2 linked regions of the Schizosaccharomyces pombe genome follow. The main gene of each other region encodes a partner of the protein of the gene in region 2 in a complex. Each region holds a gene or a part of one and is shown on either strand. Other genes may lie near its edges. The genes, in order: nda3 and cut7. A codon is read from its position in the direction of its gene.

Evidence for each region.
Region 1: the proteins of cut7 (region 2) and nda3 are in contact, whole or in part, in a cryo-EM structure (PDB 6S8M), measured with the Schizosaccharomyces pombe proteins. Residues at the interface, in NP_594527.1 of Schizosaccharomyces pombe: Glu217 (codon at 3,624), Arg233 (codon at 3,576), Val234 (codon at 3,573), Phe235 (codon at 3,570), Glu236 (codon at 3,567), Arg345 (codon at 3,240), Gln352 (codon at 3,219), Arg359 (codon at 3,198), Ala368 (codon at 3,171), His369 (codon at 3,168), His370 (codon at 3,165), Pro372 (codon at 3,159), Arg374 (codon at 3,153), Glu375 (codon at 3,150), Ser376 (codon at 3,147), Arg380 (codon at 3,135); in NP_596650.1 of Schizosaccharomyces pombe: Pro160 (codon at 1,888), Asp161 (codon at 1,885), His190 (codon at 1,798), Gln191 (codon at 1,795), Glu194 (codon at 1,786), Asn195 (codon at 1,783), Phe260 (codon at 1,588), Pro261 (codon at 1,585), Arg262 (codon at 1,582), Met406 (codon at 1,065), Glu410 (codon at 1,053), Ser413 (codon at 1,044), Asp417 (codon at 1,032), Ser420 (codon at 1,023), Glu421 (codon at 1,020), Gln424 (codon at 1,011).

The regions. Positions count from the first base shown.
Region 1 is NC_003423.3:3,963,343-3,967,628, forward strand, and holds nda3 (tubulin beta Nda3), read right to left. Parts: upstream 2,632-4,286; 5' UTR 2,583-2,631; coding exon 2,571-2,582; intron 2,535-2,570; coding exon 2,485-2,534; intron 2,434-2,484; coding exon 2,392-2,433; intron 2,351-2,391; coding exon 2,296-2,350; intron 2,207-2,295; coding exon 1,321-2,206; intron 1,236-1,320; coding exon 934-1,235; 3' UTR 750-933; downstream 1-749. Other genes in the region: protein Sdh8, read right to left, coding at 52-273; GTPase Grn1, read right to left, coding at 3,358-4,286. UniProt on the Schizosaccharomyces pombe protein: Tubulin is the major constituent of microtubules, a cylinder consisting of laterally associated linear protofilaments composed of alpha- and beta-tubulin heterodimers.
Region 2 is NC_003424.3:4,305,705-4,312,240, forward strand, and holds cut7 (kinesin-5 family plus-end directed microtubule motor, bimC subfamily Cut7), read right to left. Parts: upstream 4,634-6,536; 5' UTR 4,273-4,633; coding exon 1,015-4,272; 3' UTR 807-1,014; downstream 1-806. Other genes in the region: his1 (ATP phosphoribosyltransferase), read right to left, coding at 25-76; rps2801 (40S ribosomal protein eS28), read left to right, coding at 267-334, 484-622; tif302 (translation initiation factor eIF3b (p84)), read left to right, coding at 4,875-6,536. UniProt on the Schizosaccharomyces pombe protein: Could be a spindle pole body motor. On transition from G2 to M phase of the cell cycle, the spindle pole body duplicates; the daughter pole bodies seed microtubules which interdigitate to form a short spindle that elongates to span the nucleus at metaphase.

The sequences.
Region 1 (4,286 bases), on a different chromosome or scaffold from region 2:
GTCAATTCGAAGCATACTTTCAATATGTAATAATATTAATTAATAATGTACCTTTGGATTAACATCACCCTCAAAATCTTTATGTTTTTCACGGCGCATAACATCCACAGGACGTTTACTTGATTCTTTTTGTAATCTATCCCATTCTTCTTGCTGCTCTTTTGGAAGGCGAGGAGGTGTAGGCCTTTTCAGGTTTCCAGCATCATGCAAACATCTTGTTAAAGCTTTATTGTAATTTTTAAGAATGACAGCACGTAAATTACGATTAAACATTGTTTTGGTGCGATTGCAATGTAGTAAATAAAGTTCCTAATATACTTTTATATGAGTAAATTTCAATTTCGGCTTTTCGAAGCCACTCAATATTTCTCGTCGTTGACAAAGGCGAATTTAGAAAGTGGCGGATTGTTATACTGGTGGACGTTTATAAGTACTGGTATATCAAACGAGTTTACTTTCACAAAACGCAACATAAATACGATACGTAGCAGTAGGTGATAATTTAACTAAATTAATAGTTTATTGAATTTACAAATCTCACTGCATCTTTTGGTTCTACTTTTGGGAATTGACACTTAAGTATTAGACTTGCTTTATACATTTACTTTGTAATAGTCAAATATCTAAGCATATATTAGGGAATAGTAAATAGCTTTAATTCGTACGGTTTGGACTTACAAAAGTACTTTACAGACTTACTCGTGTTTATAGTACATTTCCACCTTGGTAGCCAGGCTAAAGCTATATTTAGAGTGTAAGGAGCATTTCAAAGCTATGAAAAAAAGTAAAGAGCGTTTAGCACAGACGATGCTTGGAATCCATATGCATCGGAGTAAAATAAAGCATTTCAATGAATGTAGGAAAAAAGGAACGTAGATAAACACTATTTGAAAATATATGGCACACTTGGATTATAAAAAGGGTTATAAGGGTTTAATACTCGAGAGGCTCCTTCTCTTCTTCAATTTCATAATCTTCATCACCCTCATCGATACCAGCCTCCTGGTATTGTTGATATTCGCTAACCAAGTCATTCATATTAGATTCAGCCTCAGTAAACTCCATTTCGTCCATGCCTTCACCAGTATACCAATGCAAAAAGGCTTTTCTTCTAAACATTGCAGAAAACTGATCACCCAAACGACGGAAAATTTCTTGGATAGAAGTACTGTTACCAATAAAAGTTGCAGACATCTTGAGATCCTTAGGAGGAACGGAACAAACAGCTTTGAGGACTATTTCGAGGTTAGCAGATGAGCATAAACAAGTAGAAAAAATAAACTAAATATACAAACGACGTTTTAAACCAAGTAAACATACCATTATCGGGAATCCACTCAACGAAATATGCTGAATTCTTAGTTTGAACAGAGCGAATTTGCTCGTCGACTTCTTTCATTGAGACTTTACCACGGAAAAGAGCGGCAACTGTTAAGTAACGGCCATGGCGAGGATCAGCGGCGACCATCATATTATTAGCATCAAACATTTGTTGAGTAAGCTCGGGCACAGAAACAGCTTGAAATGAGCTTGAACCGATGGCGGCAAGAGGAGCAAATCCTACCATGAAAAAGTGTAAACGAGGGAAGGGAACCATATTAACAGCTAATTTACGCAAGTCAGAGTTCAATTCACCAGGGAATCGGAAAGATGTGGTTACACCAGCCATTACAGCAGAGACAAGATGGTTCAAGTCATCGTATGAAGGACTCTTGATTTTCAACGTGTTAGCGAAAATTGAAGAAAGAGCCTCATTATCAATGCAAAATGTTTCGTCAGAGTTCTCTACCAATTGATGCATAGAAAGAGTAGCATTGTAAGGTTCCACAACGGTATCAGAGCTTTTAGGAGCAGGAGCAACGGAGAAGGTAGCCATCATACGGTCCGGATATTCCTCGCGAATCTTCGAAAGTAAAAGAGTACCCATACCAGATCCAGTACCACCACCCAAAGAGTGAGTTAATTGGAAACCTTGTAAAGCATCACATGCTTCAGCTTCACGGCGAACAACGTCCAAAACAGCATCGGCCAATTCAGCACCTTCAGTGTAATGGCCTTTAGCCCAAATATTTCCGGCACCAGATTGTCCATAAATAATATTGTCCGGGCGGAAAAGATTTCCAAACTTTCCTGACTTCACGGCATCCATAGTACCGGGCTCTAAATCAACAAGGACTGCGCGGGGAACATACTTTCCACCAGCGGCCTACAGTCGTCAGTACTAAATAAACAAAAAAAAATTTTTTCAAAAAGTTTTAAGCAACCGAACACTTGTAAGAAAGCAAAAAAACCTACCTCGTTAAAATAAACGTTCAATCGCTCGTGTTGTGCCTCAGAAGTTCCATGATATCTACGTAAAAGTCAGTAAAAAAACAAGCAAAATAGACCTACATTCCAGCTGAATCCAAACCATGCTCATCAGCAATGGTAGACCTTCCAAGCGTTAGTTGAGAGAAACGTTATAACAAAGTAGATTTTGCTTACCAAAAGGCCGCACCGACTTGGTTTCCGCATTGACCAGCTTGAATATGAACCTATTGATTAGCTTTGAATATTAAAATAGCTCGTACAATCTCACGCATCTAGACTAATTTATGGTGGTTTGTTTTGATGATCAGTTTGGTGGTAGGTGAGTTTCGTTAGGAGGAACGGATTGAGAATACCAAAAGTACCAAATCGTTTTTATACGTTTCAGAAATTCTAAAAACACAGTTTATTGCAGTTATTTACTAGTAGGCTTTTAAAAAAAATTTTTGTGTATTTATTAGCCGATTGTTAATTGAAAAGAATCAAGTCTTAAATCATTGCTTATTAAATAGTTTACTTCTTTTATATACAAGCTTTTTTTCTTTTCTTTGGTAATGTATGTAACTTTATTTATTCTTTAGTTTATATACATAATTATTAACTGCTAAACAGATTAATTTGATATTATGCCATATTCAGTAGTAGCGCAAAATAGTATGGTTAGAATTGTTTGTGTTTATCCTATCAATTGATATAAAAATGAAATGAAACTTATAACTGCACGTTAGTATCAATGTCATTTTCCGTACATATTCAATTGACTTTATTTAAGCCAGCATGCATTGATTTAATAATTTCCCGTATTAGCGAACCTATTACTTAAAACTTCTCCCATATCAAACATTACTTTTACAAGTAAATGTAAAACAACACATTCAAGAATACGGCATATATGCAAAAAAAATTATTTATATATTAATTCAAAAAGTAATAGCTAGTAACCATCAACACCTAAAGATTTTTAAAACCCGAAGAAAAACCGCAACCGAAAACCAAATCCCAAAATATAAGCTCTAAGCAACAATAGCTTTTTTCGTAAGTTGAAAACTCTCAAAAATCATTAAGGTCAAATTCTTTGGCCCACTCAGTAACGATTTGAGTATCCTGAACTTCAGATGAGTTCTTTTCGTTTATAACCTCAGGCTCGGCCCACCATTCGATACGACCAGCATGCCAGTCATTAATGACAATATTGGCAGCAGCGTTAAGATTTGGAATTCCACCGCGACCTAGACGACCACGCTTACGAGCAATATTGACTAAAAAATCAGTAGCAGTGTCTATATCGGATGTATTCAATAGAGGAGGAAGCTCATATCTTTGAAACATTCTTTCCAATTGTCCTGGAACTCTGCTAAGGAATTGCAAAATGTAAGAAGCAACGGCAACGGGATCATCAACTTTGGTGGATGAAACAGCATTAAGCATTACAAGACGATACAAATCGTCTTTAGAATCACTAGAAGGAAAAACAATACCAGGACTATCGACCAAACGTAATTTGTTATCTAGCTTCACCTCTCGCAAAGAAGTAGTCATTCCGGCAACGTTTCCGGCAGGACAAGGTGCAGAACGACCATTCGCAGAACGGTTGACAAGAGCGTTAATAACAGATGATTTACCAACGTTGGGGTATCCAATTACACCGACTGTAAGAGAGCTTTTAAGCTTCTTCTTGGCTGAGTAAGACTTGAGTGATTTAAGAAGATTGGAGATAGTGGAACTAGCAGAAGCCGACTGGTGCTTTAAATTTGAGTTTCCAGATCCTGAAGCGGAACGCATAGGAATCGTAGGAAAGAAATTGCGGAGATAGGTAACCCACTTGTTGAGTACTTCTGATGGTACTAAGTCAATTTTGTTGATAACGAAAATAAGACGCTTTTCTTCAGCAGAAGATGCTAAAACTTGACGTTCAACGTCTTTTGAACGAGTCCCTTCAGGATCACGAGCGTCAAGAACGTAAAGAATCACATCTGACG
Region 2 (6,536 bases):
TGCTTCTTTAAAAGCTTCACTTACTTTTGGGAACAGCAAAAAGTAACCGATCTTCCAAGTGGTTAACCAAATCCATTCTAATTATTAGTAACGGATTACTTGTACGCTATGGCGTTACAGTCAATTCACGCACGCATCGGTATGTACCGTTTACTAACTACCACCACCAATGTCGAAAAAGCAGTCACAATGTTCCCCATAATTTTAGGCGGTGCATTATACATTCTTCCTAAACACCACGCACTCTTATACATATCAAGAGGATAATGGATTCTTCTAAGGTTCCTGTTAAATTGGCAAAGGTCATTAAAGTGCTCGGTCGCACCGGTTCTCGGTAAGTTTGGGAAACTTGTCAGTTTATTGTTAAATTCAACATATTGTATTCACATAAATTGATTTGTGTTAAACGAATAAACATAAAAGATTCTAATTATTCCTCGCTTTTGTATATCCAGCAAGCAATGATTACTAACTTCTCTGTAGTGGTGGAGTCACCCAAGTCCGTGTCGAATTTATGGATGACACTTCTCGTTCTATCATTCGTAACGTTAAGGGACCTGTTCGTGAAGATGACATCTTGGTTCTTCTTGAATCAGAGCGTGAGGCCAGAAGATTGCGTTAAAGCTGCTTTGGCCCATTGTTGTTAAGAGCATCTTTGCAAAAAATATAATCTCGTTACACCTTTTACGATTCAATTTGCTTTTTGACGCCATATCTGTAGCTTCAAAGATTTTATCAGTCTTGTATATTGCTTTCGAATATTGTAAAAGTAAGAACATAGCTAATGTATCACCCCTTTTCCAGAGTCCTTGTATATCGATTAACCTCGTCTGTATATCATTAAACTTCTATCTAAATTAATCTTTATATGTATACAACTCCTAAAACTATTATTTAAAACGCAGTATGTACACACATAACCAAACTTTCCGTTTTAACCAGCCAAAGCCCCAAGATGTAATACATTTCTATTGTATTTTCGTCCATTAAGTATAAATTAATAAAATCGTGTCATTATCGTTTCATTTTGGAATAGGCACTTCTGCTACTCCGCAAAAGACTAGTTCTTGATGAATTAGATGGTTTATCATATACGTCCGGCTCATTAGTTTGATTAGACGATGTGTAGGTTTCCCTAACGAATTTCTTATCCGAATCTAAATTTAAATTCGTAGTTTCCTTAATTAAAGACGAATCTCGTGTCCAAGATGGAGTGGCAGGAAGTTCTCGTTTGGAAGGTGTATCGCCAGTTGTTTCCAGCTTCACCAAAGACGTGTCTTCTATAGTAGTTTCAAGGTTACATAGAGATTCATCTCCTAAACCAAGTAATTCATTAGTATGATTAGCAAGTGATGTCGTTCCCTTTAAAACATGATCTGTAATTTTCTGTAATTCAGTGTGCGGTGTCTTGATGGAATCGATAAGATTGTCATTGTTGCCAACAAGGGATTCCAATAAATCAAGTAATTGTTGATGCTTCTCCTTGGTATTATCTTCTGAATGCTCTTTTACTTTCTGCAACAAACGATCCAGCGTTTGAACTTCAAGATTAACACCTTGTTTTTGAGACTCCGCTAAAGCCAAGCAATGGTCATACATTGATCTGGAATTGCTATGAATGGCCTTGCTTTTACTGTCAAGCAGTTGAGATCCATTTTCAACTGTCTTTTGAATCCTTTCTTTATTGGCACCCACGATTTCTGCTTGTGAAGCCGCATTCCGTAAAAACTCTTCTGAACGGTTATTCATAATTTCGTTTGCTTTCCTTATATTCGAGTTTGTATCATTGAGATGTGAATGTAAGATATCCGCTTTGGTATACAAAGATTCGTTCTGTTCCTGTAAAAAATTTGAAACAATTTTACCAATATTAGCAATCAAATCTTGTTGCTTGGATTCAAATTTGGATTTTTGATCAGATATGTAATCACTTAATATTATATCTGCATCGTTCAAAGATGTTGTGCAAGTTTTAACCAGAGCATCAATATCGTTACGCACACCATACATTAGCTCCTTCTGTGATTCTTCATGAGTATGCTGTAAATTATATAGTGATCTTAATTCCTGAACAAGTTGTCGGTATGATTCTTTCATGTCTTTCTGCAATTCTATCAATTCCGAAGAAATTCCATTTCCCAACTTCTGGGAAGACATGCTAATATCCTGCAGACTGTGCTCCAACGCATCAAGAAGGCTGTTTTTGGAATCCTTTAATTCAGAAACAATTAGGTCTAAGCTAGAATTAGGTACTGCACAAGAAGAACGAGCACTTTGCAACGCCTCATCTAAACTCTGAAAATGCTCAGTAATTTTGGTCATAGAAATCAGCAGTTGATTACTGTGGGTGTTCAATAATTCTTCCATTGAAGCATTAAAATCATTCAACAAAGTAAAATAGCCATTTGTTTCATCAGTAAAACTTCCATGAAAAGATCTCAACATCGTTAACAAATTGAACTTAAGATTCCAAAAATTGTTTTCATTTTCTTTATTATTTCGTTCAGTGCGATCAAGCTTCTCATATAAGCTAGCAATGTATTCTTTTGATTCTCGGTAATATTGGGAAAGGTCTGTTGCAACAGTTGTAATTTTAGCTTCATTGGTTTCGTATTTTTTTCGTTTTTCGATTTCTAAAACTAGTTCATTTTTCAGCTTTTCGTTCTCAGACTTTACACTTTCTAACTCTGTAGATGAATTAACCAGTTGCAGTTGCAGAGCTTCAACTTCCTTTTTATGTTCTTGATTAGATTTAGAAACATACTGCAGTTGTTCCCTCGAACTTTTAACGTTTAAGTCCAGCACTTCAAGTTTGCGAGCCTGTTCCTGGCATAACAAATCTTTGTTTTGAACACGATCCATAAGCTCCTTATACGTGCTTTCAGCAAGATAAACTCCGTTCTTTTTACGGGTGGCATTAAGGTCATTTTTCAATCGTTCGATATCTAACACTAAGTCTTTTATAAGGACTTTTCGAAAGACAAGCTGATTATTTTGAGGCTTATTGCGTATACTTTTAGCACGAGCAGCATACTCCAAAGTAGAAATTGTTTCTTCCAAATTAGTATTAGTAGAAGATACGGTAACGATCATAGAGGTTTTAGTCTTTCCCCCCAAAGAATCCTGCAATAGGCGTGTAAGCTTGGACTCACGGTATGGAATATGGTGGGCCTTTTCCACTAATGCATTAATTACTCGGCCTAATGTTAATAGTGATTGATTGATCATTCCAGTTTCTCGAGCACGTTTGTTTTCAGCTCCAGAACGTCCAATGTTCTCGCTTCCAGCCAAATCAACCATATGAAGTTTGCTGGCGCGCAGCAAGTCATCAGAGTTATTATTTATGGTAAGTGAATTAGTTTCATCTGTCATTCCCGAAGATACCTTTCTATGCAGAGTTATCGTGAAGATTGAATGACTACGAGATGAAAGATCGTTACACTTTGTAGCAGCAACTTGACGCCGGTGAGAGCCTTCACGTAACAATCGCAACCCATCGCCAGCATTTTTTATATAACTTTCTTCAATACCAGTAATAACAACGTTCCCTCTCCGCGAAGTATCTTCAAAAACACGAGCTGGCTTTCGCAATTCTTCGGAAACCAAAAGATCGCGAATTTCCTCGTTGTAAAGTTCATAATAGGAGCATTTGACAGCATATTCTTGATTACTGTTGTCCAAGGAGGAAAATAATTGATAAAGGGCACGAGGAATAAGGCCTGCTCCTTCAGACAAAATTCCATCGGAATCGCTAAGATCACCAGACATAGTATATGTTTTACCGGTTCCAGTTTGTCCGTACGCAAATATAGTACAATTATAGCCGTTCAATACTTGCTCCAGCATGGGCGCTACCGAATTTTCGAATAGCATTAACTGGTCAGCTTCAGGACCAAAGACTTTATCAAAGGCATACGTCTTCGTGACCAACATGGATGAAGGATCCGACTGGATGGCCAATTCAGCACCCATAGCGCCCGAAGTCGATACAGCAAGGCTACTATTGTCGCGTACTTCTTGGTCTGTACGACCACGAACACGGACGACTACGTTAATATTGGTTTCGTTCTCATCATGAAGTGCATGATCTGTCGGAGAATTAGTGTCGGAGCGATCTGGGTACCCAGTGTCAATAGTAGGAGGCTCACGTCGTTTCCTAGGATTGCTCGCAGAGCGGAAATGTGAATTTGGAGTAGAAACCGGGTTTTTAGCTTTCAACCCCTGCTTTCCTAGAAATTGTTGTGAGCCACCAGGTGCAACTCTAGGGGCCATTCGGTTTTATGAGTAAGGATTGTTACAAAGAAAGCGACAAGGTTGTTAATTTAAATTGCAATTCTGTTGTAAAGTTCAATAAACCACAATATAAAAAAAAGGGGTAAATTTAAAATAGGAAAAGATCGTAAACGTCTGTTTTTAGGGGTAAAAAGAATGAATAAATTGGACAATTGTCGCTCCTGAGTATGTTGTTGAATTGTTGTAAACAAGAACGAGGACTCAGACACGGTAACACTTGGAATGTCTCATTCCAATGTTTTGCAGTACAAATCAACAGTATAAAAAGAGAAAAAAGAACTTTTATGAAAAATCCAACAATTGTGCTAATACTAAAAATCAATACAAAATGAACGAACTTGGCAGATAAACTGTTGTCAGTAATGATAATAGTCAAAATCGGTAGAATGAGTTAAAATCTAAAAAAGAAGAAATATAAAACAGAATCAACTTTATTAGTTTATTTTAAATGATACCATGTTTTTTAAATTCTACTTTTCATTACTTTCAATTTTTTTTAAATTTCTCTAAAGTTACTCTTCGATGTCCCCCCAGTCACTGGGTGAAGAAACTTGACTAGAGACAACGGCACTACACCAGAAATGTCGGAAATCCTAATTGAGGAAATTAAGGATCAAATCGTCGTAAAGGACGAGGAAATCGATGTTTCTGAACTGGAAGTTAAGCTTAATGTAACTAAACCTGTTGGATATGACACGGTTGTAGTAATCGAAGGTGCTCCAGTTGTCGAAGAAGCTAAGCAGCAAGATTTCTTCCGTTTTTTGAGCTCAAAAGTCCTTGCTAAAATTGGAAAGGTTAAGGAAAATGGATTTTATATGCCATTTGAGGAAAAAAATGGAAAAAAGATGTCTCTTGGACTAGTTTTCGCCGATTTTGAAAATGTTGATGGCGCCGATCTTTGCGTTCAAGAGTTGGATGGAAAGCAAATTTTAAAAAACCATACTTTCGTTGTTCGTAAGTTGAATCAACTCGAAAAAGCTTTTAGCACTCCTGATGAATTTAGTTTCGAAGAACGTGAATTTAAGGAGCGCGAACATTTGCGTAGCTGGTTAACTGATTACTATGGTCGTGATCAATTTATCAGCTATTACGGTAACCGTGTATCTGTTAACTGGAACCGTAAGAGCGACGTCCCTGAACAGATTGTGGATCGTGAAAACTGGACCGAGACCTACGTGCAATGGTCTCCCATGGGCACTTACCTCGTATCACTTCATCTTCGTGGTATTCAATTATGGGGTGGGGAATCTTGGGGAATGTGTGCTCGTTTCTTGCACCCCTACGTAAAATTTGTCGACTTCAGCCCTAACGAGAAGTATCTTGTTTCATGGTCCTATGAGCCTGTTCGACTTCCTCCCATCGGACATCCGGCTCGTGAAACAATGCCTTTCACTGATGATGATGAAGGAAAACATTGCTTCGTTTGGGATATTGCCTCTGGTCGTATTCTTCGTTCTTTTAAGATTCCTCCTCAACCAGAAGGTTCAAAGGATGGCAAAAAAGTTATTTGGCCTATTTTCAAGTGGTCTGCCGATGATAAATACCTTGCTCGCGTTACTGTTGGTCAGTCGATTTCTGTTTATGAGACACCCTCCCTTGCTTTGGTTGACAAGAAAACTATCAAGATCGACGGTGTGCAAAATTTTGAATGGTGCCCAGTTTCAGATGCTCTCGGACGTGATTCCAAGGAGCAGCTTTTAGCTTACTGGACCCCTGAAATTACCAATCAACCTGCTCGCGTTGCCTTAATTAGTATTCCTTCAAAATCAACTATCCGTACGAAAAATCTTTTCAATGTTTCCGACTGTAAGTTGTACTGGCAGTCTAATGGTGATTATTTATGTGTTAAGGTTGATCGTCACACAAAAACTAAGAAATCAACATTCTCTAACCTTGAAATATTCCGAATTCGTGAGAAAAATATTCCCGTTGAAGTAGTGGATCTTAAGGATGTTGTTCTCAATTTTGCCTGGGAACCTAAGAGTGATCGTTTTGCCATAATTTCAGCTAATGATCAAGTTTTAAATTCTACAAATGTAAAAACTAATTTATCGTTTTATGGTTTTGAGCAGAAAAAGAACACCCCTAGTACTTTCCGTCATATCATTACTTTTGATAAGAAAACATGCAATTCACTTTTTATGGCGCCTAAGGGTAGATTTATGGTTGCTGCAACCCTTGGTTCCTCTACTCAATATGATTTGGAGTTTTACGACTTAGATTTTGATACCGAAAAGAAAGAA